Linked DNA regions of Stegostoma tigrinum. The protein of the gene in region 3 purifies or fractionates together with the protein of the main gene of each other region. This does not show direct contact. Links are inferred from orthologs where the notes say so. Each region holds a gene or a part of one and is shown on either strand. Other genes may lie near its edges.

Evidence for each region. Proteins that work in one complex are often made in the same cells at the same time.
Region 1: the proteins of tnrc6c1 (region 3) and protein argonaute-3 purify together in Homo sapiens (affinity purification with mass spectrometry; 3 studies listed by BioGRID and IntAct, with this or other methods). This does not show direct contact. The link is inferred for Stegostoma tigrinum from reciprocal best matches to the Homo sapiens genes TNRC6C and AGO3.
Region 2: the proteins of tnrc6c1 (region 3) and protein argonaute-2 purify together in Homo sapiens (co-immunoprecipitation; 6 studies listed by BioGRID and IntAct, with this or other methods). This does not show direct contact. The link is inferred for Stegostoma tigrinum from reciprocal best matches to the Homo sapiens genes TNRC6C and AGO2.

Annotation. Positions count from the first base shown.
Region 1 is NC_081377.1:21,282,847-21,293,625, reverse strand, and holds the start of protein argonaute-3, read left to right. Parts: upstream 1-5,403; 5' UTR 5,404-5,744; coding exon 5,745-5,763; intron 5,764-10,779.
Region 2 is NC_081358.1:112,178,095-112,189,796, reverse strand, and holds the start of protein argonaute-2, read right to left. Parts: upstream 5,377-11,702; 5' UTR 5,147-5,376; coding exon 5,125-5,146; intron 1-5,124.
Region 3 is NC_081375.1:33,585,002-33,595,581, reverse strand, and holds the start of tnrc6c1 (trinucleotide repeat-containing gene 6C protein), read left to right. Parts: upstream 1-5,049; 5' UTR 5,050-5,297; intron 5,298-8,286; 5' UTR 8,287-8,428; intron 8,429-10,580. UniProt on the Homo sapiens protein: Plays a role in RNA-mediated gene silencing by micro-RNAs (miRNAs). Required for miRNA-dependent translational repression of complementary mRNAs by argonaute family proteins.

The sequences.
Region 1 (10,779 bases), on a different chromosome or scaffold from region 3:
CTGCAGTTGTTCCATACTGGGCTATCTCTATTCGATAGAGAGGAGTTTAAAACTATGAATGGGTTCAATAGAGTAAATCTAGAGATTATATCTTCAATTGTGGGGTGAGATCAGAACTAAGGAACACAATGACTATCCTATTCTTATGAATCTAAAAGGGAATTATTTATCTCATTTATCAGTAATTTTTTAGGGTGTGAAACATGCTATCCCAAGTTGTAGTAGTACAAGAGATGTATTTACTTCCCCAAGTAAATGTGAAGAAAGAGAAATAAAACGATCTCTCAATAGAATTAGATGAAGAAAGGTGCAAGGTTTGGCTGGAGAATTAAAGCCAGCATGTACCTGGTTGGATTATTTCTGTGTTGTAATGATTTATTGTGGATGGGTTTTTCAGTATACATTATTATGGGATCAGTGTCAAGTACAGCACTTGTCCTTTTAAACAGCTGACAATTCCTATGAAGGTTTATAGAGTATTATTTCTGGAATTTACCAGTGAAATTGCATTCTATTCTGACCCAACCAAAATCTATCACATGGTATGACAAGTTGTATTATTCTTTGATATTTGATATTTATTTGATATTCTTTGCCATTTTGATAGATCCCCTAACGAGGATTATGTAAGTTGGCAAACAGGAGTTCTGGAAGCGTTTAAATCAGACTGAATTATTAAAGGCTCTGTAAAGTCGCAACACTGGCAAAAACCTATTTTCTGATTTCTACGTACCTAAAGAGGTGATGGGCCTTCTCTTAGAACTGCTCATCCCACATTGCTGTCAGATAAATAATTCAGTGGTCTGATCCAATAACAATGAAAGAACAACAACATATGTAGCCAAGATAAGGTGTAGAGCTGGATGAACACAGCAGGCCAAGCAGCATCAGAGGAGCAGGAAAGCTGATGTTTCAGGCCTAGATTTTTCTGATTTTCTAAAGAAGGGTCTAGGCCCGAAACGTCAACTTTCCTGCTCCTCTGATGCTGCATGGCCTGCTGTGTTCATCCAGCTCTACACCTAGCTATCTCAGATTCTCCAGCATCGACAGTTCCTACTGTCTCTGACACATACATCCAAGTCAGGATCAGAGCCCTAAGGGAACTCTGGTGTAGAGGTTAATATCTTGAGTTTCTATATTACATCCTGTATGCCTAATATGCTGCTGCCATGGTGGATGTTAAATCCAGGGAAAGGGATACCAATTAAGCAAACTTCTGCTCTCATCTTTGTGGGTATGACACCCATTCAGATCGGTGAAGAATCAGTTGAGTCTTGTAAACGGTGAGGTGATGGCCTAGTGGTATTATCAATTGACCATTAAGCCAGGGACCCGGGTTTGAATCCTGCTATGGCAGAAGGTGAAATTTGAATTCAATAAATATCTGGATATTTATCTCGCTGCTTAGTGATCAAATAACGACCATGAAACCATTGTCAATTGCCAGGAAAAACCCACCTGGTTCAATAATTTCCTCTAGGGAAGAAAACTGCCATCTTACCTAGTCTGACTTACTCTCAGGACAATTAGAGATAGACAGTGACACCCATAACCTGTAAATGAATAAAAGAAAGTGAATAAAACTTGTAAGGGGTACAATGAGCCACTCATTGCAGAGTACATTACCTCTCTATCTTGCTTGCATTGACATAAGGGATGATATTTAATCCAACAAACAGGAATCTTACCTACTAACTAAGTAGTGGCTAGAGCTCCCTGTTACCTCATTTGGATGGAAATTATTGCCTTCTCCAATGTTTGAGACTGACGTAGTTCAACTTTTAATTAATGCTGACCTCTTAGGAACAGAAGCTTGTCATTAGTGATGCTCTGAGGGTCACAAAAGCATAGCTAAGATTTGTGTCATTTCAGTTAGCTTACATGCACCAATGGTATTGGTTTTAGACAATCACAGATGACTTTATCAAAAAAGGAGAGTGATTTAAACACTGACCCAAGTCATTCTTGGCCCTGCTATGCCAGTGGTCAGACAGAAGATTGAGATGCAGGAGACGGTTCTTGTATTGACATTCTGAATCTGGGATCACTGCTTTGAACAATCATCTTTCTCTAGCATTTTTGATGAAATGATGAGATACCAATGTTACAAGATGGCATAGGAAGTAGAATCACGGCTTTAGTTCTGATTTATTTTTAAAGAAACCCCAACAAACATCTGCAAAAACAATTTTTGCATAGTCCATTCACCCGAAAAATCTCACGCAAATCAGATGAAATAAAATTTTAATCATGGATCATTGTAAACAATGTAATCTTTATGTTAATAGCATTTCAGAGCAGAACTCACTGTGGAAAATAACATACAGCTTGGTTAAAGTACTTTCAAAAATTATGTTCAACCCACTTGACCGAGTTTTTTTTTTGAAGAAATATGAAGAAAATTGATGAGGGCTGAGCAGTGCATGTGATTTATATTGACTTCAATAAGAATTTCAACAGGTAGACTGGTTAGCAAGGTTAGATCACATGGAATGCAGGAGAACTAGCCATTTGGGGACAGAACTGGCTCAAAGGTAGAAGACAGGGTATTGGTGGAGGATTGTTTTTGAGACTGGAGGCCTGTGACCAACAGCATGCCACAAGGATTGATGCTGGGTCCACTACTATTTGTCATTTATATAATTGGACCCCATTTACACAGCTCACTGGCATGGAACAGCTGCTAAAGACCGATCATACCTTGACAATGATATCCTACATCCTCTTCCATCAGGCAGAAACTTCAAAAGCCTGGATATTTACACCACCAGGTTCAGGAACAGCTTCTTCTGGCATATGCCGTTAATAGACTCGAATGGACTCTCTAACCTCAAATAATGCTGATTTTGCTAACGTTGATCTTGCCTAGCACGCACCCTGTGCAATGGAACCTGGTTGCCTTCAATCGTTTTACAACCTCACCTGTACATCCTTGCTTACTATGATCTGCCTGAATTTCTCAAAAACAAAGCGTCACACTTGATAATAAAATGCTTTGGACATGAATACAGGAGGAATGGTTAGTAAGTTTGCAGATGATACTAAAACTGGAAGTGTAGTGGACCGTGAAGATACAATGGGATCTTGTGCGGATGGGCCAAGGAATGGCAGATGGAGTTTAATTTAGATAAACGTGAGGTGCTGTAGTTTTGGAAAGCAAATCAGGACAGGACTTATACACTTAATGGTAAGGTCCTGGGAAGTGTTACTGAACAGAGAGACCTTGGAGAGCAGGTACATAGTTCCTTGAAAGCAGAGTCAAAGTAGAAAGGATAGTGAAGAAGGCATTTAGTACGCTTGCCTTTATTGGTCAGTGCATGGAGTGTTGGAGTTGGGTGGTCATGTTGTGGCTGTAGAGGACATTAGTTAGGCCACTTTTGGAGTACTGCATGCAGTTATGGTCTTCCTCCTATAGGAAGGGTGGTGTGAAAATAGAAATGGTTCAGAAAACATTTACAAGGAAATTGCCAGGGTTGGAAGGTTTGAGCAAAAGGGAGAGCCACTGGGGCTATTTTCCCTGGAACATTGTAGACTAAGGGGTGACCTTAAAGCAGTTTATAAAAGCATGAGTATAGATAGGGTAAATAGACAACGTCTTTCCCTGGGGGGGGGAGAAAGAGTCCAAAACTAGAGGACATAGGTTTAAGGTGAAAGGGGAAAAAGATACAAAAAAAAGGGACCAAACAGGCCACTTTTTCCACACACAGGGTGGTGTGCGCATGGAATGAGCTGCCAGAAGAATTGGTGGAGGCTGGTACGATCACAACATTTAAAAAGGCATTTGCATGGGTATATGAATAGGAAGGATTCTGAAATAAAGATAATATTTAAAATATCTTGAACTTGGGTTGAATAGCCAAAAGGAAAAAAGAAATAAAATTTTAGAAAAGTTTGTTGTTCTATCAAAAGGCCGTCAGTCTTTAATATTAGAGATAGTAGGAACTGCAGACGCTGGAGAATGAGATAACAAGGTATTAAGCTGGATGAACACAGCAGGCCAAGAAGCATCGGAAGGAGGATCTAGGCCCGAATCGTCAGTCTTCCTGCTCCGTTCATCCAGCTCTACACGTAGTAATCTTAAATATTAGGTTTGTTGCAGTCTCCAAGAAGCAGCCTGACCTGATCACTTCTGGCATTTCCTGTCTTTGTTTCATGAAATTGCTGTTTTAATTTCTTAAGATTGAGTAAAAGCCTTTTTCTAACTCTCAAAGTGAAGCAGAAGGCTCATACCCACATAAATACTTCTAAGAGATGGTGAAAGGAGGCTGGCAATGCAGTGCGCCCTTTCACAACCCAGCTATTTGAATACTTCCTAGTTTACCTACGATCAGTACAGCCAAGAGCAATTGGCTAAGTCAAAGCAAAGTCCACATCTCACCCTCTAGTGGCCGTTTTCAGAGAGGCTTCTGGAAAAAGGCTCGAGTCTTCAACATGTGGGTTATGCAGAGAGAAAATATGTTTAGTGTATTCAGACTTTTTAAAAAAATAGCTAAAAATATAGAAACGGTATACAATGTCGTTACTGCGCAAGGATAAAGATCCTAAAGCAAGGACGCACACGACAGTATCGTCTTATCATCCTGAGATTATGCGGATGCTTCAAGAAGAATACCAGCTGTTCCCGAGAATTTGCCATACACCCTCCCCCTTCAAGTCTGTAATTTACTTAATCCTCCACACGCTTTTGAATGCCAGGAAAGTGTAGTAAAGAGTGGCCATTTGTTATTGGCAGGACAAAATCACATCTGTTCTTATTTTATACGACTGAAGATCCGAGCCTTGCCTAAAACCTATCTCATCACACTGGCTGAATAACTATCGTCGGTAATCACTCGCTAACGAGTTTGATGATGCACCGAATTGCTCGCGTACTTTTATTGCTCAGCCTCGGGAAACATTTTCACCGATTCAAGTGCTCCTGCTGCGCCGGGCACCTGACTTCGTAGTCCTGGGTTCTCATTTTGCTAACTCTACGAAGAAGGCAGAGAGGCCCTTTATTACAGCCATCTGAACTCGAAAGAAGCCCCGAAGAGAATAGCCGGTTCTGGGCGTTACTGGAAAGAACATTCATTGCAAAAATAAAGACAGGTTTTTAAGTCTAGAATTTGGTCGTGAAATCAAAGCAGAATACATGTAAACTATTCGCCGTATCAGTTAAACAAAAAAAAAGAGAGACCTGAAAGGAAATCAGTTGCGGCTCCGCCTGGCAAAAGAGAATCAAAAATTGTACCTTTAAAAATAATCCTCAGGGTGGGGGAAGTAAAACCTTGCGTTGCCCTAGAAACCGGTTTACAAAATGTCGGGAGGGAGAGGATCACGTTGCCGTAGTGACGTTTGCTCGAGAAACGTAGGAATAATTAACCCAGGGTCGGGAATCGTCATTTCCGGCGGTTAAAAGACGATTTTTCCGGTTGGGAAACGCCGTAGACGAGGGAGAGTGAAAAAGACGAAAGCGGTGGAAAATAAAGTGGAGTGTGAGCGGGGCCCAAGTGATCACGAGGAGCAGATACCTCTTAGTCCGAAACCAGCCTGCACGCTTAAGGGGATCGTCACCGTTTGGTAAAAGCGAGAGTCCCCGCCTGTATTTTACAGCTAGGGAGGAGCGCCCCCCCCCCCCCCCCAGGCAAAGATCTACACCGATCCGGCTGACCATCCCTCCGACATCGAAGCGGTTCACCCGCCGGCCGGTACTGTCCGTCAAGAGGCCGCTGAAAACCAAGCCTGTGTAGGAAGGGGCTCCATGAATGGAAATCGGAACCCCAGGTATGAATAGCCGCTGCACTGGATCCCACAAGATGCTTGAACCTGCCCTTAAACGGCGGGTGGATAGATATGGGGATTGAGTGCGGCGAAGGCAGTAGCGGCCAGATGGACACAAACCCTCATAAAACCAGAGGAAATAGGGAACCGGGGAGATATTTATAGACGGGTTACTGGAAAGGTTGAAGCCAGACTTGAAGTAGATGGAATCGAAAGCCTGTAGTCTGCTGACCTTCTAAAAGTGGGTTTTCTGTACCTTGTTTCTACAGTTCAGCCTCTTTAAAGACTGTAGTTTTCTCAGGGCTAGAATGAGGAATTTCACGAATCTGCCCAGTAAGTTTCTGTGCGTAACAGCATCAACTCTCTGGTTCGTAGTTGCAAACCAAGTATTGGGGAGAGAGATTCAAAATGATTAAAAGCCTAGAGAGCAAGACTAATTCACGAACTCTCAAAAAGAAACTCAAAATACTGGAAATACTCAATAAGTCTAGAGGACAGCCAATTAATGTTTCAAGCCCATATCTGGAACACAGCTGTTGACTGACCTGATTTTCTTTTCTTAGGCCTTTTCTGTTATACAAGAGAATGTTCTGTACGTCAACATCAAAAATATATAAGAAATGCTTAAGTTATTTCAGTTGTGTAATCAAACAGAAGAGAATGCTCTGACAAATAAGTTGTACAGAATGACTTGAGCAGTGGGGGGACCAAAAGCTTGGTCATAAACATGCTATGAAGGATTTTGGCAATGCAGTGGTAAGGGGGAAATTTACTTCTGTGACCCAGATGCCTGATGCAATTAGGAAAAGCTCCCATAAAATGCTAGAATTAGAAGTGCAGGATGTTCCAGAGTAGAAAATAAAAATGGTGGAGGATAAGTCCAAGATGAGATTTTTAATGAGCAAAAGTGAAGGATGCAACGCTGAAATCTAATACAGTGAAAGTTATTTGGTTTGACTGAGATGGTAGTAACTTGACGGGCTATATGCATTGGCGATGTCAGTCAAATTTGTAATATTTCAGTTGCAGGATTATTTGATTTGTAAGCTTTAGTTTTGTTTTATCGCAGTTTGCCTTCCCAAAACAAACTATTCATGCTTGCCTGCATTTGATCCATATCCCTTCAAATCTTTCCTATTCATGTACTTAAGCAAATGTCCTATGAATATTGTAACTGTACCTGCATCCATGACTTCAAGTATGAGCTACTCTGTTTAAAAAAGAAAGTTCCCCTCGTCCTTTTTAAATCTTCCTCCTGTCACTGTTAAAATATGCCCCCTAATTTTGAACACCTCCACAAGAGGGAAAAGATCCTTGCTGTTCACCTTATCTATGCCCATCATGACTTAATAAACCTCTGAGGTTGCCCCTCAACCACCACCTCCTCCAATGGGGGATAAAGGTCCCATCCTATCTTTATAACTCAAGCCTTCCATTCCCGGCAGCACCCTTGAGTTGTTTTCATATCCTTTATGTAGCAGAGCGACAGAACTGTACACAGTATTCCAGAAGAGGCCTCACCAATGTCCTATACAATCTCAAGATGATATCCCAACTCCTGGACTCAAAAGTCTGAGCAATAAAGGCAAGCATGGTAAACGCCTGCTTAGCCACTGTTGAAGTGACGCAAATTTCAAAGAATTATTTACCTAAACCCTGATGTTTCTCGGTTCTAGAACACTACCCAGAGCCCTACTAATAATTTTGTAAGTCTTGTTTTACCAAAATGTAATACCTCACATTTATCTAGATTAATTCCATCTACCACTCCACAGCCCTTGATCCAATTGATCAAGACCTCTTTGTAATTTTAGATAATCACCTTTACTGTCCACTATAGCACTAATTTTTGCCTCTTAAATCCTCATCCAAATCATTTTAAATAAATGATAAACAAAAATGAACCCAGCACCGATCCCTGTGGAACACTGCTGGTGATGGGCCTCCAGTCTGAAAAACAACCTGCTGTACCACCCCATTCACATGCCAGCCTATCAACCTCTGCATCCAGCATCCAATCCTCTGCCACCTGCAATCCGGCCCCACCACCAAGAGATATTTCCCTCCCCACCTCTATCTGCCTTTCATAGGGACCGCTCACTCCGTGACTCCCTTGTCCACTCCACACACTCCTCCAACCTCACCACACCTCTCACTTTTCCCTGTGACCACAGGAGGTGCTACACCTCCCCTCTCACTGCCATCCAGGGCCCCAGACAGTCTTTCCAAATCTGACAGGGATTCACCTGTACATATTCCAACCTGGCCTACTGTATCTACTGCTTCCAATGTGGTCTCCTCTACGTTGGTGAGACTAGTCACAGACTCTGGGACTGATTTGCGGAGCATCTGCTCTCTGTACGTTCTAATCAACAACGCCTCCCAGTTGTCAGCCACTTTTACTCCACCTTGGAGACTTGCCCCTCCTGGGCCGCCTCCAGTGTCACAATGACGCCACGTGCAAACTGGAGGAACGGTACTTCATATTCTGCCTTCAGAATTTACAGCCCAATAGCCTCAACACAGAATTCACCAGTTTCAAAATCGCCCCACCCCGGCCTTATCCCATATCCAACCTCCCCCTCATCCCCGCCTCCTTGACCTGACTCAACCTGTCCACATCTTTCCCACCTATCTGCCCCACCCTTCCCACTGACCAATCTCCACTTCCCCCTACCTGCATCCATCTGTCAACATCCTACCTACCTTCCCCCAACCCCACCCCAACCTCCCGTTTATTTCCGAGCACTCTTACCCCTCCCCAGTACTGATGAAGTCAACTTTGCTGAGCCTCTGATGATACCTGACCTGCTGTGTTCCTCCAGCCCCACATTGTATTCCCCCCCCGACCACCCTTCACCACACACTGTCTCATCTGATGTCAAGCTCATCTTGTATTTATTTGGCAAGTTCACCCTTAATCCCATATAATCTAATTTTCTAGTTCTTCTACCATGCGGAACCTTGTCAACGGCTTTACTAAAGTCCATGTAAACAACATCTACAGCTCTGCCCTCACCAATATCTTTGGTTAGGTCCTGAAAAAACTCAATCAAGTTTGTGAGATACTATTTCCCTCACAGTCCTTGCCTCTCCAAATGCATGTAAATCCTGTCTTTCAGAATCACCTCCAGCAATTTACCAATCGTCAATGGCAGACTCTCAGGTTTATAGTCCTTAGGTTTCTCATGACAGCTTTTCTTAAATAAAGGCACAACATTAGCCACTCTGCAGTCGTCCGGCACCTCTCAAATGATACAGATGTCTCTGCTAGAGGCTCTGCAATTTCTCCCTAACTTCTCACAAGGTCTTGGGATACACTTGATCAGGTCCAAGAGATTTATCTACCTTTTATGTTTTCTAAGACTGCCAGCGTTTCCTTTTCTGTAATGTGAACTGTTTTCAAAACATCAATATTTATTTCCCTGACTTCTCCAGCCTCTACAATAGAAACTGACACAAAATGTCCAATTAGTATCTCTCCCAGCTCCTGAGGTTTAGTACATAGACAACTTTGTTGATCTTTAAGGGGCCCTATTCTCTCCCTAGTTGCTCTTTTGCTTTTAATGCACTTGTAGAATCTCTTTAAATTTTCCTTACCCTTGTCTGCTAAGGCTATGTCATATCTCCTTTTTGCCATCCTGAATTCCCTCTTAAGAATGACCCAACACCCTTTATTCTCTTCAAACACTTGGTAATGTGAATTGAAAAACGCCAATGCAAAATAAATTGTGCCCTTGCTATGCAGAGTGCTTTTTTGAAGTATTTGTGTACATGGAGGAGATTTGATTCATCAGCTGAGGGAGGGCAGTATCTTGCTTTCAGCACAATATTTCCTTAGCCATTTTTGAGTTGATTCCATGTCCCCATTTCATTGACATTAGTACTGTCATTTAAAATAATGAAAGATTAACACTTCTTGCAGTATTTAAAAATTGAGGGTTTTGTGAAGTGTAATTTGGAGAAGCAGTATTGACTTATCACATGGTTAATTCTTTGAAATGTTTAGAGGCATTTACAGTAATTGTTTAATGGTCATCTTGGGTAACAAGGGCATTGTAAATGGCTGTTTATGCTCATCTTTTAATGCATTTAGTTGAAGTTGGCTGCTAGTGGTTTTTGTTTCAAGTGAATATATAAATTTGTGTTGCTTTTAGTTTGTGCAATTCCTTGTGTGCTTTCCAAATAAGATAAAAGTTGCTTGGATTACATCTCTGACAATGTGGTTTCTTACAGTAGTATCACTGACGTGCTTGGTGTCATTGCTACAAAGTTACGTGCAATTATTTGATGAATTGATAAAATTTAACATGGTTAGAGATGGACTTGCATGTAGCCTGAAATAATTAGAACAATTAGAAAAATGATCTTGTATTGAAATGGGAAGTTAGGTATCATCCTGTATTCTAGCAGGTGATGAAAAAGATCATTCTGACCCATGCCAAACATTTTCATACAACTAAACTGTTAAAAAGACTTGTCAAGTTTATAGTTAAATCAAATTTCTATTAAATCTTCCTCCTTTTAGACTTTCCACATACCTTATCTGGCCCAGTAATGTTGTAAGTGAACTATGAGGCGTTCCAAACTCTGTCGATGTGTACCTGAAATAGTCACAAGTATGTGATGGGTATTATTCATTTATTTTCTTCCCATCTGTTGGCAGGGTGTCTGAAATTTGACTTAATTTACTACTACACATCCTCATGGGTTGATTGATTTTATTGTTGTCATGTGTACCGCGATATTATGTGCAATACAGGCAGATCGTACCATACAGGGTAGCCGAACAGCATACAGTGTTGTGTACAAACTTTTACATCTGCCTGACAGAAGAGGGTGGAAGAGCATATACCTGGGGTGGGAATGGTCATTGATTATATCGGTTGCTTTCCCAAGGCTGCAGGAAATATAGGTGGAGTAATTGGTCAGAAGGTCTCACTTATGATATATCACTGTCTGTTTCTTCCCATTCTTTATTTGAAGAAGAAACTAAGTGCAACGGGTCTTCGAAATTAG
Region 2 (11,702 bases), on a different chromosome or scaffold from region 3:
GCAACTTTGTTTTTGTTACTGGTTTCCAGCATCCACAGTTCTTTCAGTTTTGATTCATGAAGGCAGTTCACCACCAACTAGGGACGAGCAATCGGGCCCAGTCAGCAATATCCATGTCAAACGAGTGGGGGAAAATATCTGACAAATTTTAGCTCTGAAATAGTAACTGGAATGAAGAAGGATATTCAGTGGGTATTATGTGAATAGATATTCAAAAAGCCTTCAATTGGAAGCCTGATAAAATTAAGGTAAAGGAAATATAGAATTGTGAAAGGAATTGGCTAAAGAAAGCGGAAGTGGTCAACAGTTTCTTGAGTGGGATGTAAGCAGCAGTGCTTTCCAGTTCATAGACTGGATGCTGCATTTGAGAACATCACCTAAATTCATATAGTCTTAATTAAAAAATAATGAGACTTTTAATTGTTTATTAAACATTCCAGTGAGCTACACAGGAGAATAATTAGAAAGAAAATGCACACTGAACTGAGGAATGGTATTTAAGGACAAATACCTAATCAAGGGGGTGTGTTTCAAGCGGAATCTTTGTTGAAGACAAGAGGAGAGGCAAAGCAGTTTGTGAAGGGAATCAGGGCATTCAGGACTAGGTGTCAACAAAGAAAAGTGGGAGTTGCTAAGAGGTGGGAGATAGAAAAAAGGTAAGAGTTTTGATGACTGGAAGATGCAGAGATACAGAAGGGCAAAGTTCTGGCGAGATTTAAACATGGAGTGGGATTTTAAAATCATCATATTCGTGGACCAGGAGTCAATGAGCACTGGCATAATGGGAAAACAGGGCATGGTGTGCCTAACAGCAGTTAAAAACAATAGCTAAAAATAGTTTATGGCTGTGATACTTATAGGACATTGAGACTTTAAAAAATTGTTTTACAAGTGTAAGTTCTCTCTCACATGCAGCAAAAAACATGAAGATGGTTATGGGAGGCACAATCTCAATTTATCACTGAAAACAGATGTGTTTAATTTTGATCAATTTCAAGGAATAGGGCAGGTATAATAACATTGAAAAGATAGATAATTGATAAAAATGTAGAGAACATGCAGCAATACATTGTGATGGAACAAGGACAGAACAAATAAACAAATGCTAACACTTTTAAAAGAATATAAATTTAAAGACACACACATCTGCAACCCTAAAACAGCAAATTTAGAAAGCTCGTAGCAAGAAGCATGTGGAATCCTCTGATTTAAAAATGGTAGTAGACTACAAAAGCCAGCAGAAAATGCTAAATCTATAGAAATAAAGCCAGTTAGAATTGTCTATTTACTCTTTCTAAAGTGAGCAGCCAAAAGCTGTCAAAGCCACAGAGGGAATAAGAACATTACAAAATAGAGCAGGAGAAAGCTTGCCAAGTCTGCCCCACCATTCAACATAATCACGATGACCTAAGGTTTCAACTTCACTTTCTTGCCCACACCTGCAGCACCAAACAATTGCCCACCTCTTGTATTAAATATATTCAACCATGATACACCTATATCCCTCTGGAGTATGTGAATCTTTGGAATTCAATCTATTAAATGAGGAACTCTCTCATCTCAGTGCTAGATGATTGCCCTGTTTTGGAACTGTGACCCATGTTCTTGATTTCACAGCTGGGGGAGGAAACCCCGCATTGCCCATCTGAATCAACCCCTTAACAATCTTCTATGTTTCATTTTGATCACAGAGAACACAGGTTCCAATTTCCTCAGCCTCTCAAAAGTAGAATTGCTCCTGAGATGAGTGCAATCTTGTGAACATCCACTCTTCTGTCTCTAATGCAAATCTATCCTTTCTTATATATGGAGAGCAAACCAGCACCCAATATTCCAGACAAAGTCTCACCAAAGCCTTGTTCAATTGTAACAAGGGCTCATTACTCCTGTAGTCAATCCTCTTCCATTACAGGCCAACATGCTATTTATTCTCTTAATTGCTTGCTGTCCCACATTCTAAGATTTTATGTTGCCTGCATGGGTACACCAATGTCTTCAGAACATCAACTCTCAAGTTCTGCACCTATTGATAAGAGTGTTGATTTTCTATTCTCATCACCAAAGTGAATGATCTCACTTCACCATATCACCGTTGATAATTGTCCTTCAATTTGGGGATGTCAACTATCAATCAGAGTTGCAAGTTTCTGTTACAGGTCTTCATGTAATTAAACTGGCCAACTGTTGACCTGCAGATCTCTGATCACATGCAACAGGAGGTCCGAGGTGGTATGGGAATCCAGAGTACAGAAATTGCTTCCACTCACATTCCCTGCAGCTGCTGTGCCTCGTGATTAAGGCTTTTGGGATCAAAGCTTGATGGATCAGCTGGTGTCATTTTGCAAGACTGATAATGAAGTAGTCCCTATCATGAATATCAATGCTGCCACATATCAAGGAGAACTTTTCAGTAGCTCTGATTCACATTGTTTTTCCACCCTTGGAATACTGGCCATTCAAGGGTTGAGAACACAGGATCTGGCCAGGAAGACAGTTTTCAGACAAGTGGATAGTGTCCAGTCCACGACACACTCCTTCTGCCACCTTGTTGCTCACTCAATTAACTTGTCTGACTCACAGCTTCCATGATTGGAGATGCCAGTGTAGGCCTGGGATGGGCCAGGTCATAAAACACATGACACCAGGTTATAGTCCAACAGGTTTATTTGATAACACAAGCTTTTGGAATCTTACTACCTCTCTCACTAACATCTGAAGGAGGAGTAAGACTCCAAAAGCTTGTGTTTTTAAATAAACCTGTTGGACAATAACCTGGTATTGTGTGATTTTTGACCTTCGTAGCTTGCATTCACACATAGCTTTGACTCATGATACTACCTGGATACATTACTCAGTGTTGTCATCCAAATCATGAATATAGATTGGAAATAGCCAAGATCCTAGCACTGATCTTTGCACCACTCCACTAGTCATAGTCTGTAGACTTAAAATGTCGATTTACTCCCATGATCTGCTTACAGTATGTTACTGATTTTAAAAAAGCTGACTAATTGGAAGCAAACAGAAATAGTCAATGAATATCTTCTGGAAGAAAAGATTGTAGTGCAGTTCCCCATGGTTCAGTATTGGGACCCTTGCTCTTCCAGATATGTATTTGTGATCTAGTCTTTGGTGTGCAGGGGATAATACAAAACTTGGAAGCATTTTAAAACGTGAGGAACAGTGATAAATCATAGACAGATTCAAGGATGAATAGATTGCAGGTGATGCATTTTTATACGAAGAATATAAATACAGAATGGGTATAACTCTAAAAGATAGGCAGGAGCAGAGGGACCTGGATCTTAATGTGAGCATATAATTAACACTAAAGATCAGGTGGACAGCGCATTACTAAAGCATACAGTATCCTGAGTTTTATACCGGGTCACAGAGTACAAGGGTAAGGAGATGATCCTGAATTTGTATCAAAACACACAAAGCTGGATAAAGTTCTGGGGGTGACACTGGAGAAAGGGTACAAGAGATTTACAAGGATGAGACTTCAGTTACAAGGAAAGATTAGACAGCTTGGGAATGTTCCCCTTGGAAGGAATAAAGATAAAAGATCACAGAAGTTTTCATAATAGTGAGGGGTGCTGAATAAGTACATAGGGAGTAAATGTTTCCACTCAAAAGAATCAAGAATGCAAGGGTACGGATTTAAGGTGGATGACAAGATGAGAAGATGTGAGAAAAAAAACATTTTCAGGCAATGAGCTGGTCAGTCAGAATACACTGCCTGCAAGTGTGTTGGAGCCAGTTTCAATGAGGTATTCAAGAGTATGTTAGATGATTATTTAAGTTCTGAGGAAGGGTCACTGAACCTGAAACTAACTCTGTTTTCTCCTTCACAGATGCTGCCAGACCTGCTGAACTTTTCCAGCAACTTTGTTTTTGTTCCTTAAGTTTACACACAGTTTTAGAGGGATAAACAGAAATAAATTATTTCAAATGCTCAATGAGTTAATGGGTATAGATTTAAGATAATTTACAGTTGATGTAAGCAGACTATGCATATCTACATTGATAAAAGAAAGTGGATAAAGATTTTAATTAAAACTTGAGAGGGTATAGGGATAAATGGATAAATCTTTTTTGAAGTCCAAGATGGTCAAAATCACCTGTCATCTAGTAGGATTCAGAGTACAGTTAAAAAAGAATCAAAAATAAGACCATTCTCGCATCATTACGAGATCAAGCTCAGTGTGGACTTTTTGTATATTTCAATAATGCACAGTTTATTCTCTTAAAAAATTACGTTTACCTTTCCCAAGCGTTAAGTTAAAACGCATGACAGAAATCCAACTATAGTACAACGCTCCTCTCTCTCTCATCCGCATAGTAACACACGTTTGCATCTAAAAACCGAAAGAACTGCGGAAGCTGTAAATCCGGAACAAAAATAGTAGTTGCTGGAAATGCTCAGTTCGGACCAGAGGAAGGGTCAGCGGACCCGAAACGTTAACTGATTTTTTTTTCTTCTTCACAGATGCTACCAGACCTGCTGAGCTTTTCCAGCAACTTCTGTTTTTGTTCGCGACACTTTTGCATCTGTTTTCTTTCATTGTCGGCTTTGTCAAACCATCCAGCCTAGTTTACTTCCTCCAGTAATTTAGGAGTGAAGTGAGAACAATTACCCGACTCCTCTCATCTTGAGTGCTGCAAGTTAAAATCCGAGTGGGAAAGTACTACAGAGGCTTTACGTCCATTCGAAGCTGAACCACGGGAACAGCTGACAGTGATAACCCCACGCAGTCCTGATTTACTGTATTTATGAAAACAGCAAAGTATCGCCTTTATGGTTATATTTATAAAGTTCACGGGGGCGGGAGCGGAAGGTGGACGGAAGAGAACGAAAGACGGAAACTTTCCAAACGCGAGGGGAGCCCACAGCACAGCAAAGCTGGCAGCTAGAACACGGCCCGGTTTACAGCAGGTCACCCTTCCAACTTCAACCTGGGGCACTCCTCGTAGCCGAGTCCCAGGCTTGGATGAGGCCTCAATAGAGACAGGGTGGCCGCAAGCAACATCAAACTCCTCAGACCTCTGTAAGGCGCCACTTCAAACGATGAAAAACTTTTTTTTAAGAAAAGGAAGAAAAAACGTGAAGCAATAGCTTACCGGGTTCGCCGGCGGAATACATCCTCGTTTAAAGGGGAGGGAAGCAGCTGGCTGAGAAGAGATGGAGAGTTTCCCTTCCCCCCTCCCCCGTGTTTATGTAAAATTATAGTACAAACAGGAACAAAACAGCACTCATGAGGAAGAAAAACATTAATAATTCCCGATGGAGAGATGGGGGACATACGAGGAAGGATAGTGAAACGGGGACAGAAAACCCCGGGCCAGACACTTGACGGGCGGTGCAACGCGCAAGCGCAGGAGGCGGTCCCCAGCGCGCCGCCGTACGCCCGAACGTTACGCCTCCTCTCCCCCACCCCGCGACCGCAAACGCCTCGCGCCTCCCGCCTCCCGCGCGCGCGCCCGCCATTCGAGCCAGCGGAGGGCGCCAACGTGTAGCGCGCATGCGCCCTCGACAGGTCGGACCTCCAGTGCGGGTTGGGCATTCCACCCATGTGGTTGTGCGTTTTTGTAGTATGACAGTAACTGGGAGAGTGAATGTGAGTGTACGTGTCGAGAAACAGAGAGCTGTGGAGGCAAAATGCCTGTGTAACGTTGAAGGCTGAGCTGGGCAGATGCCCGATCAGGAGGGGAATCAAAGATCACGGGAAACAGCAGTGTTTGTGAGGAGAGACTGATCAGGCAGAGCAGGCTGGAGGGCTGTTTGGTTTTAAACACCTTTTGCCACTGCAGAATGCGCTTTTTTTGACATCAGTTAAAAACTTCCGATGAAGTTTGTGACCGCTTCGCAGAACATCTGCCTTCCGCTCAGAAAAAGAGACCCTGAACTACTTGTTGCCTGCCACTTTAAAGCACCACCGCGTTCCCTGGCCAACATCTCTTGTCTCTGGCTTGCTGGTGTGTATCAGCGAAGCTCAATGCAGAAGGACAACACCTCATTTTCCACTTGGGGACCCCTTGCAGCCTTCTGGACTCAATACCGAATTCAATAATTTTAGGACCTAAACTCTCCCATGTCCCAGACCCCCACCCCACACACCAGACCTTGTTACCATGGCATCACACACCACCTGCTATTAGTCATTATTCACCCTCCCAGCCTGATCATTATCAACTGTTGACTGTCCAACTGCTCCTCTCTCTTTGGGCTCTATTCTATCATTTGCTCCCTACCCCTTCCCCCGTCTCTTATTTTCTGCATATAAACTGCTGCTTTCCCAACCACCATCAGTTCTGAAAAAGGGCTACTGGACCCAAAGCATTAGCTCTGTTTTTTTCCTTCACAGATGTTGCCAGATCTGCTGAGCTTTTCCAGCAACTTTGTTTTTGTTCCTGATTCACGGCATCCGCAGTTCTTTCAGTTTTTAAAAACTTATGATGTTTTTTAAATTGCACCCGGGTGCGATTCCAGCCCCGGGCGACTGCCTGTATGGAGTTTGCGCGATCTCCCCATGTTTGCGTGGGTTTCCTCCGGGTGTTCCAGTTTCATTCCACAGTCCAGTGATTTGGAGGCTAGATGGATTGGCTGCAGTAAATTGCTCATAGTGTCCAGGGTAAGAAACGCAGGGATAGGGTAAGGGGTGGGTGTGGGTGGGATTCTCTGCGGAGGGTCGGTGTGGACTTGTTGTAACGAATGGTCTTCTTCCACACTTCAGGGATTCTCTGACTCTAAAAGATCTGTGAAGTCTTTGCAGAGAAAATACATATTGGAATTTTGACCTTCCTCAGAGCTCGCCTACAGTTGCAAAACCAAAGCATTTTCTACTCATAGTAGATAACTATTTACATACATTTTGAGGCAAGGACAGGATCTGATAACTGACCCATTTAATTTGGAAAAATGCAAAGTATTACATTTTGGTGAAACAAACAAAGACAAGACTTATGCAATCAAAAGTAGGGCCTTGAGCAGTGTTGGAGAGCGGAGAAACATAGGGGTTCAGATACATTATTCTTTGAAGTTTGCATCACATATAGATAAAGTGGTTAAGAAGGCATATATCACGTTTGCCATTATTGCTCAGACCTTCGAATATAGTAATCATATGTTATGTTGAGGTTACCCAGGGAGCAGTGAAGCCTCTTCTGGAGTACTGTGTCCAGTTCTGCTCATTCTATTATGGGAAGGATATTATTAAACTGGTCAAGGTTCAGAAGAGATCTGCCGCAATGTTGCCGGGAATGGAGGGTTTGAGTTATGAGAGGCTGGACAGTCTGGGATTTTTTTCACTGGAGTAGTAAGTTGAGAGGTGAACTGAGAGGTTTATAAAATAATGAGGAATATAGATAAGGTCAATGGATAAGGGTGGTGTATTTCAAGACTAGGAACTGTATTTTTTAGGTGAGAGGAAAAGGATTTTAAAAAGAGACAAGGCAAATTATTTACACTGGTTCGTGTGTGGAATGAACATCCAGAGGAAGTAGTGGATTCGGCAACAGTTTAAATGACAATTGTATAAGTACATGAATAAGAAGTGTATGGAGGAATATGGGCCAAGAGCAGGCAAAAGGGACAAGCTTAGTTTGGGATTATGGTCAGCTTGGACTGAAGGGTCTGTTTCTGTGCTGTAATACTCTATGACTCTAGATCCTTGTTGTACTTCAGCAGAAAGACCTTAGATGGTGCTCTTTCCTCACTGCTTTTTGGCAGCAGCTGCTCCAAGTTTTAGTGAGTCCCTCAGCGTGTAGTTCTGCACCTGGAAAGTGCCAGCCTGTAGCACTCTTTCGAGATCAACTCTTTACACTGCAAGGCTGACAGATTTCTTCCAGACCAGAGAACATCTTTCACAAGAGTTGATGTTTTCCAGGTGCGGTCAATACTTGTCTCAGTGCCCGTACAGCACGGAATTCTGCTACCCCCGCAGCTGCCTCAAGGACAGCAGTGGTGTCGGAGAGAGTCTGGGTGAAAATGAAGAATATGACTCTTAGTGCCCTTCTTGCCAGCAGCCAAGTTACAGTTTAGTGCTTGTTGCCAAGTTCTGGTGATGAGGCATTCAGCCAAATAGGTTTGACAGTCTGCTCTGGGAAACCACACAATAATGAGGTCAGGCCTATCATTTGTAACACCAGGGGCAGTTTGGACCTCAGTATGTAATAATACATGGTGTTTATTTACTGACGGTCCACGCACAGTTTGATGCAGAGCACATAAAGTTAGCCATGAGGATTAGGTTGGCATTGGGTATGTCCTTCTGCCAATCTGGAGCTTTGTACATGATGTCTGAATATGATCCATCTTTGATCTCCAGAGAAAGTGGCTCGGGTGACTGCAGTGGTCAAGGCTGGGAGAATGGGCCCGACCTGTGCCATGTGCAGCAACACCAAAATTACCTCGCACCTGATGACCAGGCTTTTACCTCCAGTAGAGAGAGAGGCTGGTGCTCCCATCTGCCTAGTTTCTACTTTTCCTTGGCAATATGCTCCTCCCAAGTTTTAGCACACGCCGTGGCCTAAATGAATGATATTCCCAACATCTTCAGGTGATCTGGCATGATGGTAAAGCGGATAAGGATCAGTTGATCCAGTTCCCAAAGAAAATGGCCTCACTCTTGCCTTGATTTACTTTGGCTCCTGATGCCAGTACAAAGTCATCCTTGTTCAGGGAGGCTTTCTACTGCCTCGAAGAGTCACCCCTCCCAGGCTTGAATCCATCTGGATGGACTCGGCAAAAGGCTCTGTGCAACACAAAAAAGGCAGGAGAGAGAGGAGCCCTGCCCAACTCCAGATATGATCAGGAAATCTTTTGATTCCCACCCATCAATTGAGACTGTGCTATTGATATTAAAAGAAAAAAGAACGGAACAGCACAGGAAAGGCCCTTCAGTCCACCGAGCCTGCGCCAACACATGAAGCCTTTCTAAACTAAAAACCATTGCCTCTATGCAGTCATATCCCATCAAGATTCTTCTTGAACATTGCTATCGTATCTATTTCTATCACCTCCATTCCCGGAACTTACCACCCTCAGTGTAAAGAACTTGCCCCTCACATCATCTTTAAATCTTCCCCCTTTTACCTGAAATCTATGTTATCTAGTAACTGACATTCCTACCCTGGAAAAAAAGACTTTGACTATGCATTCTATCCACACTTGTTATAATTTTGTTAACTTCTATCAGGTCATCCTTCAAGTGAAAACAAACCAATTTTGTCAAATCTCTCCTTGTAGTACCCTTCAAATCAGGCAACATGCTGGTAAAACTTTTCCATGCCCTCTCCAAAGCCTTTGAATTTGATGTATAGCAGTTGGATCCAATTGTGGATTTCTTCCCTAAAGCCCATTTTGGAGAGGACATTCCTGATGTAGATGTGCAATATCCTGTCAAAGGCTTTCTTTGGTTCTGTAAAGTAACATTTTGAGGAAATAAACAAACATTGGCGTTTGTCTGTGTCCAAACAAACCAAAGACATCTCTTACACATACAAGACCACATTTACATTCATTGAGGTATCAGGAGGGTGAGATAACTGAATGGACCTCCACTTACCTTCAGCAGGAAGACCTCAGAACAATGGCTTTATCCAGTGTGCCTTGGTGGCAGCTACACCAGGCTCCATTGCGGCCCTCAGCACATAGTCCTGGACCTTGGGAACATGCCAGCCTGCAACACTTGGTTGAGGTCAACTCCTTGTTCTGGAAGGCCAACAAGTTTCGGGCAGACCAAAGAACGTCTTTTACCGTTTTGATGGTCTGCCAGATGCAGTTAATGTTTGTCTCGATGTGTATCCTGGGGAACAGATCACAGAGCACAGACCTGCTGTGGACAAACCCTGTCAAAAACCACTGCATCTTTCTCTGGACACCCTTTGCAAAGGCACATTCCAGCAAGGGATATGTGACAGTCTAAGCACCGCCCCCTCCACCACATCTGCTTTGAGGGCAACATGCAGTGACACCAACCGACCTGGCTTACATGAAGGATATGATGGATAGTGCCCTTCTCACCACCAGCCAAGAAATTTCTTGGTGCTTGTTGGAAAGGTGATGAGGCATTCTGCTAAATGACTTTGACAGCCTGCTCAGGGAACCATGCGATAGGATACACTCTGTCTTTTTTCCTCAGGTGTCAAGGATGCTATATGCTGACCACTTCCTAATGGACATGTGGTCAAAGGTGGTTTTCTTTGGAAATTTCTCCACAAAGGACAGGTGATACGAAATGTTCCAACTATTTGAAGTATTGAACAGCAACAAGGCCAGTCCCATCCTTTGCAACACTGGGGACATGTAGAACCTCAGTATGTAGTGACGCTTGGTGTTTGCATACCAAGGGCCTACACACAGTTTGATGCAGTTGCACACAAAATTGACCATCAGGATGAGGGTGATGTTGGGTACATTCTTCCCTCCCCTTGTCCAGAGTTTTGTACATGGAGTCCCTGCAGACCTGGTCCATTTTAGACCTCCAGATGAAGTGGAAGATGGCTCAGGTGACTGCAGTAGTGCAGTGTGATGATGAAGGAGATGGTGGATTGCTCAGCCTAGTTCCCAAAGAATATGACCTCGTTCTTGCCTCGATTTACCTTTGCTCCCAAGGCCAGTTTGAACTGGTCACAGATGCTCCCCATCAGTAAGGTCATAGCTGGAGCTCTGTATATAGTTCTGATTGCCAAACCAGATGTGATAGTGTAGAGAAGATTCACCAGGGTATCGCTTTGAGCAATTCAGCTATGATGAGAGATCAGATAGGCTGGGTTGTCTTCCTCAGATCAGAAAAAGCCTAGGAGAGACTTGATGGAAGTGTACAAAATTATGAGGGGCATAAATAGGAAGAAACTTTTCTCTTTGTATCGAGATCAGTAATCGGGACAAAGGTCTAAGGTAAAGGGCAGGGGGTTTAAAGAGGATTTTGGATTTTATTTTTCACCTAGAGTGTTGTGGGTGAAACCAAATGCCTGAAAGGATGGAAGAGGCAGGAACCATCACAACACTTAAGAAATATTTAGATGATTACTTGAAGTACCATAGCATACAAGGCTACAGCCAAATACTGGAAAATGATAGATAGAGATAGGGGCTTGATGACTGATCTGGACATGATGGGCCAAAACGCTTCTTTTTGTGGTTCTGAAACTCTATTATGCCACTTTATATATGAGTTCTAGCTTATTACTACTGTAAGCAACGGCTCTGGGTTGAACCCCATAGGAACATATGTGGCCATTCAGCTCCTGGAGCCTGTACCAACATTAAATGAGATCATGGCTGATTTGTGACTGAACTCCATATACCTGCGTTTGGCCATAAACCCTAGTACCTATGCTAAACAAAAATAAATCTATCTCAGATTTAAAATTAGGAACGGATCTAGCATCAACTACTGATGTGGAAGAAAGTTCCAAACCTTACTATCCTTTGTATAACAAAGTTCTTTGCAACATTTCTCCTGAATGGCCTTGCCTTAATATTTTTTGACTATGTCCCTTGTTCTAGAATCTCCAATGACTGGAAATAGTTTATCTATCTACCCTGTCTTTTCCCGTTAATTTCAGATCACCCTGTAGCCTTCTAAATTCTAGAGAAGATCAGCCTAATTTGTTTAATCTGTCCTCATAACTTAACCTCTGAAGTCCAAGTATCATTTTTGTAAACCTACGTTGTACTTCCTCAAAGGCCAATA
Region 3 (10,580 bases):
TATGGCATATGGATCCAGTTATTAACAATTTCCTTTGTTTCTTTATGTAGAATCATTATTGCTATGTTATACCGGTGTTACCTTTGTTCACTTTAGTTCATTTCAAGACTAAAATTTGGATGATAGACTCTTCCTTCTGGTCAGAGCTCTTTCACGAGCATAGCTATTCCTCCAACTATGAAATAAAAACTGATATTCATCCCTGAGTTGTGAATACATTCCATTCTGGAGACAATTCACAAATCAACTTGTACAAATGTGAGAACACAATGCAGGACAATACAAAATAATAGTTCAATAGTATGAAGAAACATTCTTATTCCAGGTCTTTAAAACTACATCCCTGACTGAAATTGCATCCATAAGCCGAAGTGTTCGTAAGTCAAGTGTTCATAAATTGGGGGCGCTCTGTATATAAATCAGCAATGCAAATATCCAACAAACTTACATGTTATTTTCCTTTATGCACTCACTCCAAAGGTGGAGACAAATGCTTCGTGCAGATTCACACAGACAGCAGCTTCTGGGACCTTACCTGTAAAGGGTCACACTTGCTGCTTAATTTCAAGCCCTTTGATCACAAAAGGAAATGTATGGATTACTCCAACCATTACAGTTTGGCATCACCCTTGTGAAATGCAAATTTAATGTTGCCCTCAACATTTTCAGTTAGCGCATGGACAAAACATTACAAAGGAGTTGTGCCAGTATGAGGAGGCATTGCAAGGACATTTGAAAGTTTACAAGCAGGATTTTGGCTGACTTTAGTACAAGACTCTTACAGAGAAGGTGGGAAGGATTTGCTAGTGTCGCAAGTTATTTTAATAATTGTTTTGAACCTTACCTAGGACATACTGTTGTGGAAAGGCATCAAGAGAGGTGTCAAGGGAATTTCCTGCACCTCAGTACTGGACCTGGATACAGTTGTTCTTCAGAGTACTATCTATTCTGGAGGAGGTTCCTCTTGCAGTCCAGAGGAGATGAGTGGGAGAACAGGCCAGGGCCTGATTCACACTGTGGTTCAGGAGGAATGAACTGACAGTTGATTACGATCCTGTGGAAAAAATCATCATCAGCAGCAGGAGGACAGAGGGAGGAGAAGGCTCTATTCTACCAACAGAGTGTACCAGCAATGTGTGACATACTCCTAAAAATGTCAGAATGCCAATGGCAGAGGAGACTCCTTGAAGTGAAACAGTCACATCTCTGTGTGGCATGTTGGCTGTGGAGATTGACTCAAATTGTGTTCGTGGACTGTCTGTACTTGTGGTGTGGAAGGTCACAATAGTCCTGAATTTTTTGATGTTGAGTTCCTTCAAGTCTTTACCTGGAGACCTTTCTCGGATCCTGCAGCTAGCTACTCATTATCACATGAAGCTTTTCATAGATACAGCGTTCACGTGCCTCCATGAGTTTATTTCATTTAGCACTGACAACACAAGTCAAGCAGATGGTACCAGAGGCTTTGCTAACATTGTATGGTATCCAAAAGTACAAGGAGTCATAGATTGCACATAGGTGACAAATAAAACTCCTTTGGGAAAGCTAGGGACAGTCCTGAGCAGAAAATGCTACCATTCCATTTATGAGCATCTTGGATGTGATCATGGTCAAAAGGTGTGCACTCGATATCTTAGAAGATGTCGTGCTAACATGCTGAGATGCTCCCAGGTGCCAGGGACCTTATTTGTTCTGAACCTTTGGTGGCATATGGGTAACAAGGGAGATCCCCTGAAGAGATGGTACATGACTCCGGTACTGAGCCTAATAAAAGTTTTAAATACATAGAGTGTACTGAAAATGAGATATTGATGTTTGGACAAGTCAGATGGTGTTCGATAATGTTCTCCTGCTTGAGCCTCACTTGTTGTTGTGGTATCGTGTGTCTTGCACAACCTGATGCTCCCTCAGAGTGAGGAGCGGAGTGAACCTCATCATTGAATGAGAATTTGAGGATCAGCCTGATGATGACCAAGTTAAGCCACGCTAGCTACCTGCACAAGTCAGTGCACAGAATGCTTTGTAAGCTGGGGCGATGCAAAATACTCTTATAATGCAAAAACATTTTCACTTCTAATCTATAATTTGGTCCATGACACTATCTTACCTGATCTGCTTTTGGAATCTCCCAGTCATTAACACCAGGACTTCCGGTGCATGTGCAATTGTGACAATCAGAGAGGCCCACTTCAGTACAAACTCAAAAGCATACAGCAGATACAGATCAAAATCAACATCTTGAGTTCACATGAATTTGGTCCTGATCTATTGCTGGCTTGGATTGGGTAGAATTTAAATAGCCTTTTGCTGCTCAGCCTTGGAGAAGTAAACAGTGACTGGACATATACTTTTACCAGTGGAAGACCAGTTTCTGACAAACAATAGATGCAATATTCACCAGTCAATTAACTCACAGCTTTCTTATGATGTCTCAATTTGATATTGTTATTGCATGTTTATAAACTCGAGTATGTTTCTTTTAGCTTCTGGCTTCCTCTGCAAGTAAGTAAAAGTTCCCAAGACTGGTTTAATTAATTTCCTTCCCACTACTCTTGGTTCCCATCATCTCTGCTTGTGCTACTGACTCTCTCTTTTCTCTCTCTCCATGCAGTTGGCAATCACCTATCAAGCAATAATCACACTCTCAGAGAATAAGTGACCTGAAGAAGTACTGAGCAGTCTCTCAGTGGCCAGTGCTGGAGGTCTTCAGAGTAACTAATCAAAGGCTTTCCAGCTTGTCAGTTTTACTGAAGGAGGCCTTTAGGCTATGCGCTCATCTTGCTGACCCTGCTGAGTTGCTGACAGTTTAAAAAAAAAACACAGATTTTACAGTTGGAAATCCAAGATTCAAGGCTTAAGATCCTTATAATTGGTTATTCTACAATTTCTCTAAAATTTCTTAATTACTTCCCCATCCGATTCAAGGGTGTCCCTTGCTCTCCATTATTGTGAGCAAGGGAAAGTCAGAGCAGGATGGTGTCACATCCATATCCCATCGCAAAGTCAATTTCTGAAACTTTCCCAACAATCCAACCTGCCCCCAAAGGCCTGAGGAAACTCAGTCTACTTCATTGGTAAGTTTTTTTTCCCGTAAATGCATGGCTTCTGATGTTGACTGACCAACATAACAGAAGCTGTATATTTTTCAATTTTAACATTATCTGAAAAGAAAAAGCCCCTGATAAATAAGCAAAATAAAGGTGTAACAGTATATCTTTTGGTACTTTACTGAAAAAGAATGACAGGTTGTTTGAGCGTTTGTGAAAAATATGAACTAGATTAATTTGTAAGATCTTTAATGTGTGCTGGCAGAATAATTGATAATGATGGCTGTGTGGATATTATGTCTTGTGTAAGGGGAAATGTAAAAACCACAGATGAGACACAATATAAGTTCAAAATTATACCTGTGTGTGTGTGTGTGTGTGTGTGTGTGTGTGTGTGTGTGTGTGTGTGTGTGTGTGTGTGTGTGTGTGTGTTTGTGTGTGTGTGTTAGTATGTGCGCCAATTTGACAAAATCACAAGCTCAAAGTGCATAAACATCTAATGGGAAGTGTTTTGTTTCCTTAACAGATGCCCAAGCAAACTATTCATTTCTATGTTTCAATCCATGAAATATGAACTAATTCCCAATCCTAGGGAAAAAAATGAATCCATTGCTTTTGTGCAGGGATGTAGCTGATCTCAACTGCCTCAATGATTTTTGGAATGAAGTGGCATAAGGTGGTTTGTTATTTAAACAGCAGGAACAAGAAACCTGTCAGATTCTGAGAATTAATCAGTGCTAATCGTAGAGGTTTGTCAACAGAAAATGGTCATTTTTTAATGTTCAAGAGAATAAAGGAAGTATAAAGAATTAGTGAGTGAGCTACTGGCTCATTTTATTTGTGGTAAGCATGAGTTAGATTTTTCAGGTTTGCACACATCAGGTGGTGTGAAAATTTAGAAATAGTGCATGTTCTGAGATATATCAAATTTAAATAAGTTGTTTGAATGCACTAAATAAATTGACCAAACGACAAATTAGAAGTAAATGGCTAAATACAAATTATTTCATTTCTTTTAGTTATATGTTGAATTTCTACATTTTAGATTTAGTATGTGCCTTACCAATGAAATTTTCCTTTAATATTCTCCCATATAAAAGCTCCTAATATTTAAAGTCACAACATAATACTGGAATAAGAACAGCATGACTGTATTCCATTCAGGGTGTTTTTGTAAGTATTTAATTTTTTAATTCATTCCACATAATTGAGATGTGAATCAAAATTGCTTCCTTTTTTAGCAGCTTGAAGATCACTGCTATTTATATTTGTTTACCACCTTCCAATAGTGATGCTGTTAAGAAAATTGTAGAAGTCCTAACATGCACATCACCATTGAAATATGATTTTTAAAATTAAATTTGCATTGTTTGCATTAAGAGCCCTTTATTGTTTAGTGTTATTCTGTTTATAAAATGGCTGCTGCATCTCTCCTCATTTCTGGCTTGACAAAATGAGACATATGGCATCACGTCTCATTTTGCTCTGTGCACAATCATTAACAGTATCTGCTTGCCTTTAGGTTAGCCACATAGATTTGCCAGGTTTGTACTGTAACTTCCAGTGGGAGAAACAAAAGAGTCCCCTCTCGTTCATTTACAAAGTGGTGCTTTGTAGCTTCACATGATTAATTAACGTACCGTTCAGCACAGTACAAGGCTGGCATACTACAGGTATACAAATATGCTGCAGTACAGAGCGGATTACGCACAAAACATTTTTTCACAGAAGCACAATTTGACACTGCTGGGAGTAATCAAATCCTGGACATAACTATGGTAATTGCTAATTTGCAAGTGTACAATTGTTTCGGAGCAAAGTTAGGCAAATTTCCAACTCATAGCGGGTCACTAGATTTCCTTGAAAATAGTCGCGTTGGTAACAAAAAGCTTAAGGAGGCAAGGGCTTCCCGATGGTACATAAAATTAAAAGTGTGATAAAATGGCCAACATCATTAGTATTTTCGCAAGTGTGTTTCATCGAATATTTTGATGGTGTGAAGTAAGGATGTGTGCTGTGGCTGCGTCAGCCTGTTTGAGTGTGATGTATTCATTTTGCAGTTGGCTGTTGCAGCCTGTATTGCAGAGCTTATGACCTGCTTTCACATGCAGCAGATTCTCCCATAAATTCTGATTCATATCCAGCAGCTGAATCCTGGGTCTTGCTGGATATTCTTTATTCGCTTTGTTTCGATTTTGTCGCCTTGAGCTGAATAAACTTCACGAAGCTGATGCCTGGCCGATCTGTGAGGTAATTTAGCGCTAATTAATTAGTGATGGTTGCAGAGTGCGCAGGAATTTCAGCCTGGCCTCATTTTTTTTTGTTTTTGTTTAGTCCACTTTTTTTGTACAGTATTTTTGTATCTGTACCTCAGTTTGTGATTACTAAATTCCTTCCCGCACGGAGACCAAGTCGAAGATATAGAAAGAAAGCAAAAGTGAGAGTTTCAACAGTCTACGCGTGCTTTCGCTTCTAATTTTCCCACCCGTTGTTAATTGTTTCATCGTTTTGAGTGAACCAGTTTTGCAGCGTTCAGCTGTTTCCACATTTTCACCTCAAGGCCCTATGTTTGGCTATTCAGTCGAGCAGTAGGCTCATTGCCAAGTTAGCACAATGAAGAATGGCAATATGCAGATTTGTCTTGTCTTCATTAATGGCAGCTGTAGAAAAAAAATGTTCAAGAGCTGATTACTGATTACTTAGAATAAGACCGTGGGAAAATCGTTGTCTGGTTAACGTATCCTACTGTGTTTGCCATAAGCCTTGCATCCAACATGGCTGACAAGGTTACCCTCCTCAGATGATCTCAATGCTGCTCTTTAAGTAGATTCTGCGCTGAAGCTTTTTGTCGCTTTAGTATTTGAGATCCATTAGGTAGGAGCCGAGTGCCTTCTCCATTACAGTACACTGTTGAACAACTGCTCGTCTTACTGATGCGAGCTGCCGGCGTGCACTCCACTCGCCTGTTTTGCATGTGTAATGCGACTGCGCTTAATGACTGTGAGTAATTATGCCAATCAAAGTTTGTCTGGCCTGTGATTTTTGAAAGTTAGCCAGTGCTGGGGTTAAGTTGGCACAGCAACTGTTGTTAGGGGAGCACTGAGCCTCTCACAGCAGCAGCCAGCTGAATTGTAATAAGAGAGTTGGCATCATTCCAGATTCCACAGCATTCAGAGGTATGGTATATTGTGCACGGGGAACTGGCTAATTAATCTTCCAGCAGGGAAGAGTGTAGCTTCAGACAATTATAAAGCGGAAAGGAAGATTAGAATAGAAACTGCCAGCTGAAGAAATGTTGATGATTTTGAATGATAAAGCTGGCATAAATAATGCACTTGAGTTAATTTAATGTAGATGTTCTGATGCTGTTCCATGCATTGACAAATTTGTTTTATTCTTTTTATAGGCAGCAATTAAAGAGCAGGAATAAAAACACTCAAACCTTCTTTTAACCTGGCTTACATGATTAGATTGTTTTAGAGCCCAGCACAGGATTGGGATACCACTACAGTATCTGGAGGTGTGTGAACTTGGTAGAATGGCTTGGTCTTCTATATAATCTGAGGAACTTTTTCTAAGAAACTATGCATTAAATAGTGATTGTTAACACTGACAACTGAACTCAGTTTGTAGATTTTGATAATTTCCCATGGCTAAACAAAATTAAAGATAATTTTTAAGCAGTTTTCAAACACATGATGCTGTAGTGATGTGTTGTGAGAAAATACAACAGACATTCTCAGAATACCTCATTCAATATTTATATTATTTATTTAAAATGCAGAGTTTATCCATTCTGGTTGTATACAGTGGCAATAATAAATCACTATTGTAGGAGGGAACAAGCGTGAATAAAGCATTTGTTTTTGCTATGTCAGTCAGTGGGGCTCTGTTCAGTTGTTTGGGGCCCAGCAAAATGGACAGTCATGCTCCATCATCTTGGTGTGTAGAATTTGGCAAGCTAATTAGTTTACTTCCAATGTGTAAATATGAAAGTATATCAGCCTGATCTAATAGCACTTTTTTTATAAAAGCGCATTAGTCTTGAAAGTTTTCAATAGTTTGCGTACCTGATATGGAGCCAATTGTTTCAATGTTGTGCTAATTAAGTTGTGTGTGCAGGAATACACATAAGGTTTATCCTGCAGTTTTTCAAAGAAGTATCATTTGTCATAGCTGATGCAAAGCCAACCTCTACAGGTCACAAGTTTTCTGACTGCAAAAGGCACAGGGTTGCTAGCAACTTCCTTGAAATATAATTACAGTGAATAAACCTTAATTTGATCTTTCTCACTACTAGTTAAGTTTGACCTTATGTAGCAAAGGAATCATGTTTCTTTCGAGTTAGCCATTGTATATTTCGGAAATGGCATCTCTAGAGACCCACCCTAGTCCCTTTGTCTTCAAAATTGATATAATAGAATTGTAATATTCAATATATGCCAGGTTAAATATTTGCAAAAGTAAAATTAGCGAATCTGACTTGATGCATGTTCTCCAATCATATGTTTTATGTACAATTTCCCAATCACATTTTAAAAGAAAACAGTTGGAATAAATTGAATGAATGTATAATACATACATTCATCAATCAGTATGATTGTTTTATGGTAAGCAGAAAGTTCATTTAATGTAGCTCGTAATATAAGTTGGCTCTTTTAACAGAGTGATGTTAAATTCTGTTATGCTGCTCAGGAAGTATGATAGTCCCTTTTCTATTTGTTACCTTGTTTGATGTGAATATTTTTAAAAGAAAAATTAATTAGCTCCACTGAAGACCAGCTATGATTCCTATGACCTGACAGGTGCTGATTGTGAGGAGAAGCTGGCTGATGAAATCAGATGCATTAATTAATAAGCATCACTGCAGATAGCATTTACACAGTGCTGCCTTTGTACTCAGAAAAAAAAGAATAGATTTGACTTTGGAAACATTTCCAGTTTGGTTTCTAACTTCTGGGACTGCTATTACAAATTCACAAAGCAAATTTCAAGAAATGGTGAACAGTGCACTCATGTTTTTTATGACTCCTTGTTAATGAGACTGTGGAGAAACAAACAAGATCAAGGTTTTTTTCAGAGAAAATTTGCATCTCATTGTGTTTCATTTCTGGATGGGAACAGGAGTTCAAGACTTAATTTAGGTGGCCACTAGAACACCTATCCAATGCCACTGCGGTTCAGGTCCTCTTGAGTCATCCCTGACAGCAATCTAAAACAGTTCTTTCGTCCTTTTCAGATTCTGATAAGGCTACTATTGACAGAAGTAAGAATGCCTTAATGAAACTGGTGAAAACCTTGCAGAGCTTTCGATATATACCCCTCCTTCTTGAAAGTATGATCATTGACCTGCAGACTATGCTTCACTGGTCCACAGAAAAGCAAGTATTTACTTGTGTCAGAATTGTAAATAGCCCAATTCTAGGAAAGTCAATAAAATTAGTATTTTATTTTTCTTGCCTTGACCTTTTGTGTTAAAAACAGGGTTAGAGAATCAAATATAGCAAAACACTGAAGTAGCTACTTAATCTTCAAGTTCTGTGTGTGGGAGTCTTTAAAGTTTAATTCTATAATTCTAACCTTTATATCTGAACTCAGCTGGTGAAAATTCAATGCAAATGTCAGTGTGGGTAAATTCTGTAACAGCATACCCTGAGGCATTTTGCATTTTATAGCAAATTTGAATTTTTTCTGGGCATTGATGCATTTATTTTGTGTCAGTGCCAATTAGGTACTGTTTCCCAATTAATGATTCTATTGCAAATAAGCGGATAACTTTGTATTCAATTTATTTATTACAGATGATCAAATGTACTGGTATAGTTACAGAAAGCATTCTTTACTGCTGCTTTTCCTTAAGACCTTTTTTAGCTTGATTTTATTTTCTATAAGTAAGGACGAGGCTCCTATGTATTGAAACTGAGTGTGTTTTCTCTGTACTTGCGGTTGTAGCTTAATTAACCCCACTCCCAGCACATCATTCGCTGGAGAGTATGTACGATGCCCACTGAACCTCCTTTCACTCCAGATAATGAGGTTGATTTAATACAAGTTAATATGCTGTTCCAGATTCATATGTTTTTGTTTCCCTTCCTTTCTTGGGATGCGTACAATGCTGAAAATTGCCTTTTTAATTGTATTGTTGGGCATTTTTTCTTAACAATATCAGTGCAAGTTACAATAATGTTCCAATGATGATATCAAATCAAAAAATTCCAGATAATTAATTTGGTGTCAATGAAAGAACATTGATGCATATCCAGTTGAGGCTGGTAAGTTAATTGGAGAGAAACATGTAAGTGTTAATATTATCACAAAATCATTGCATTTTTAGATGGTAAAGAATACAGGGTGACTTTGAAGTACTTTTAGTGATATAACCGCGATGCACAGTAGCCATTCTGCCCTGGTTCCAGTGGTTTGCAAACTGATTCCAATGACATTGAGGTTCATCCATAAAGTTATAGCATGGACAATGTCAAGATTCTTGAGTGATGCAGCTGTACCTATCTATACGCTTGATGAATATATGTCTGGTCCAGTTTTACTTCCGGTCAACAGTGAAAAGATGCTTTTCATCTGATGTGTGTGAATGCAAGCACCAAGCTGGATGTAATTTGACTCCTGCTATCAGCTTTTGGTTAGAAACTTTTGAGCAGATATACACCCTGGAATGAGCAAACAGATCTACTTCTATCCTATAGCAGAGGAAAGATCATGAGTGAAGTAGTTGAGAATGGGTCAGACAAGATGTTTCATATAGCAAACCCCTGCAATGATTGCTCCTTTGTCAGAGGTATGACTATAACCTCTGGAGAAGTTTCTTTTCTCTCCAGTCACTGACTTCAGATTTATGCGTGTTTCTTAGTGCCATACTTGATCAAAGTTAGCCTGGGGTCAAGAGAGCTCCTCTCACTGCCCAGTGGTAGTTATCTACATCTGTCTTCAGCATGTGATCAGACCTGAATATTATTGGCTGATTTCTTATTCAATATCAGTCAACAGATTACTACCGAGCAGATATCATTTGTTGGTGTAGTCGCTAATAGTTTAATTGATATGTACAATCATGAAAACTGATATCTGCTAACAGATCAATGCCTGCCATGCCTGATAATTTGATTCCAGGTGTGGATTCAGAAAACTGAAGTAAATGAACACTACAGAAGCTACTAGAAGATAGATCCCATTTAATCATGAGTACAAATGTTTTGCAATTGTCAAAATAGTTTAAAACTATTGTAAGTAAAGAGTCTGAACTGGTTTCTGCTTTGATGTGAGTTAAATCAAGTATATAAAGTACACAACAATTTTTACAACTGAGAATGCCTTCCTTCAAATTATCAATTTTTGGGTGAATTAGATATTGAAGCAGTCTGTGTCCATATGTAGCAAGATTTAGGCAACATTCAAAATGAAGCTAATTATTCTCAAGCCAATTTCATACCACACAAGTCTAGGCAAGACCATTTCAAACAAGGGACAATCAAATCATCTCTTCTTGATAATTAAGGGTATTATCATGCTGAAATG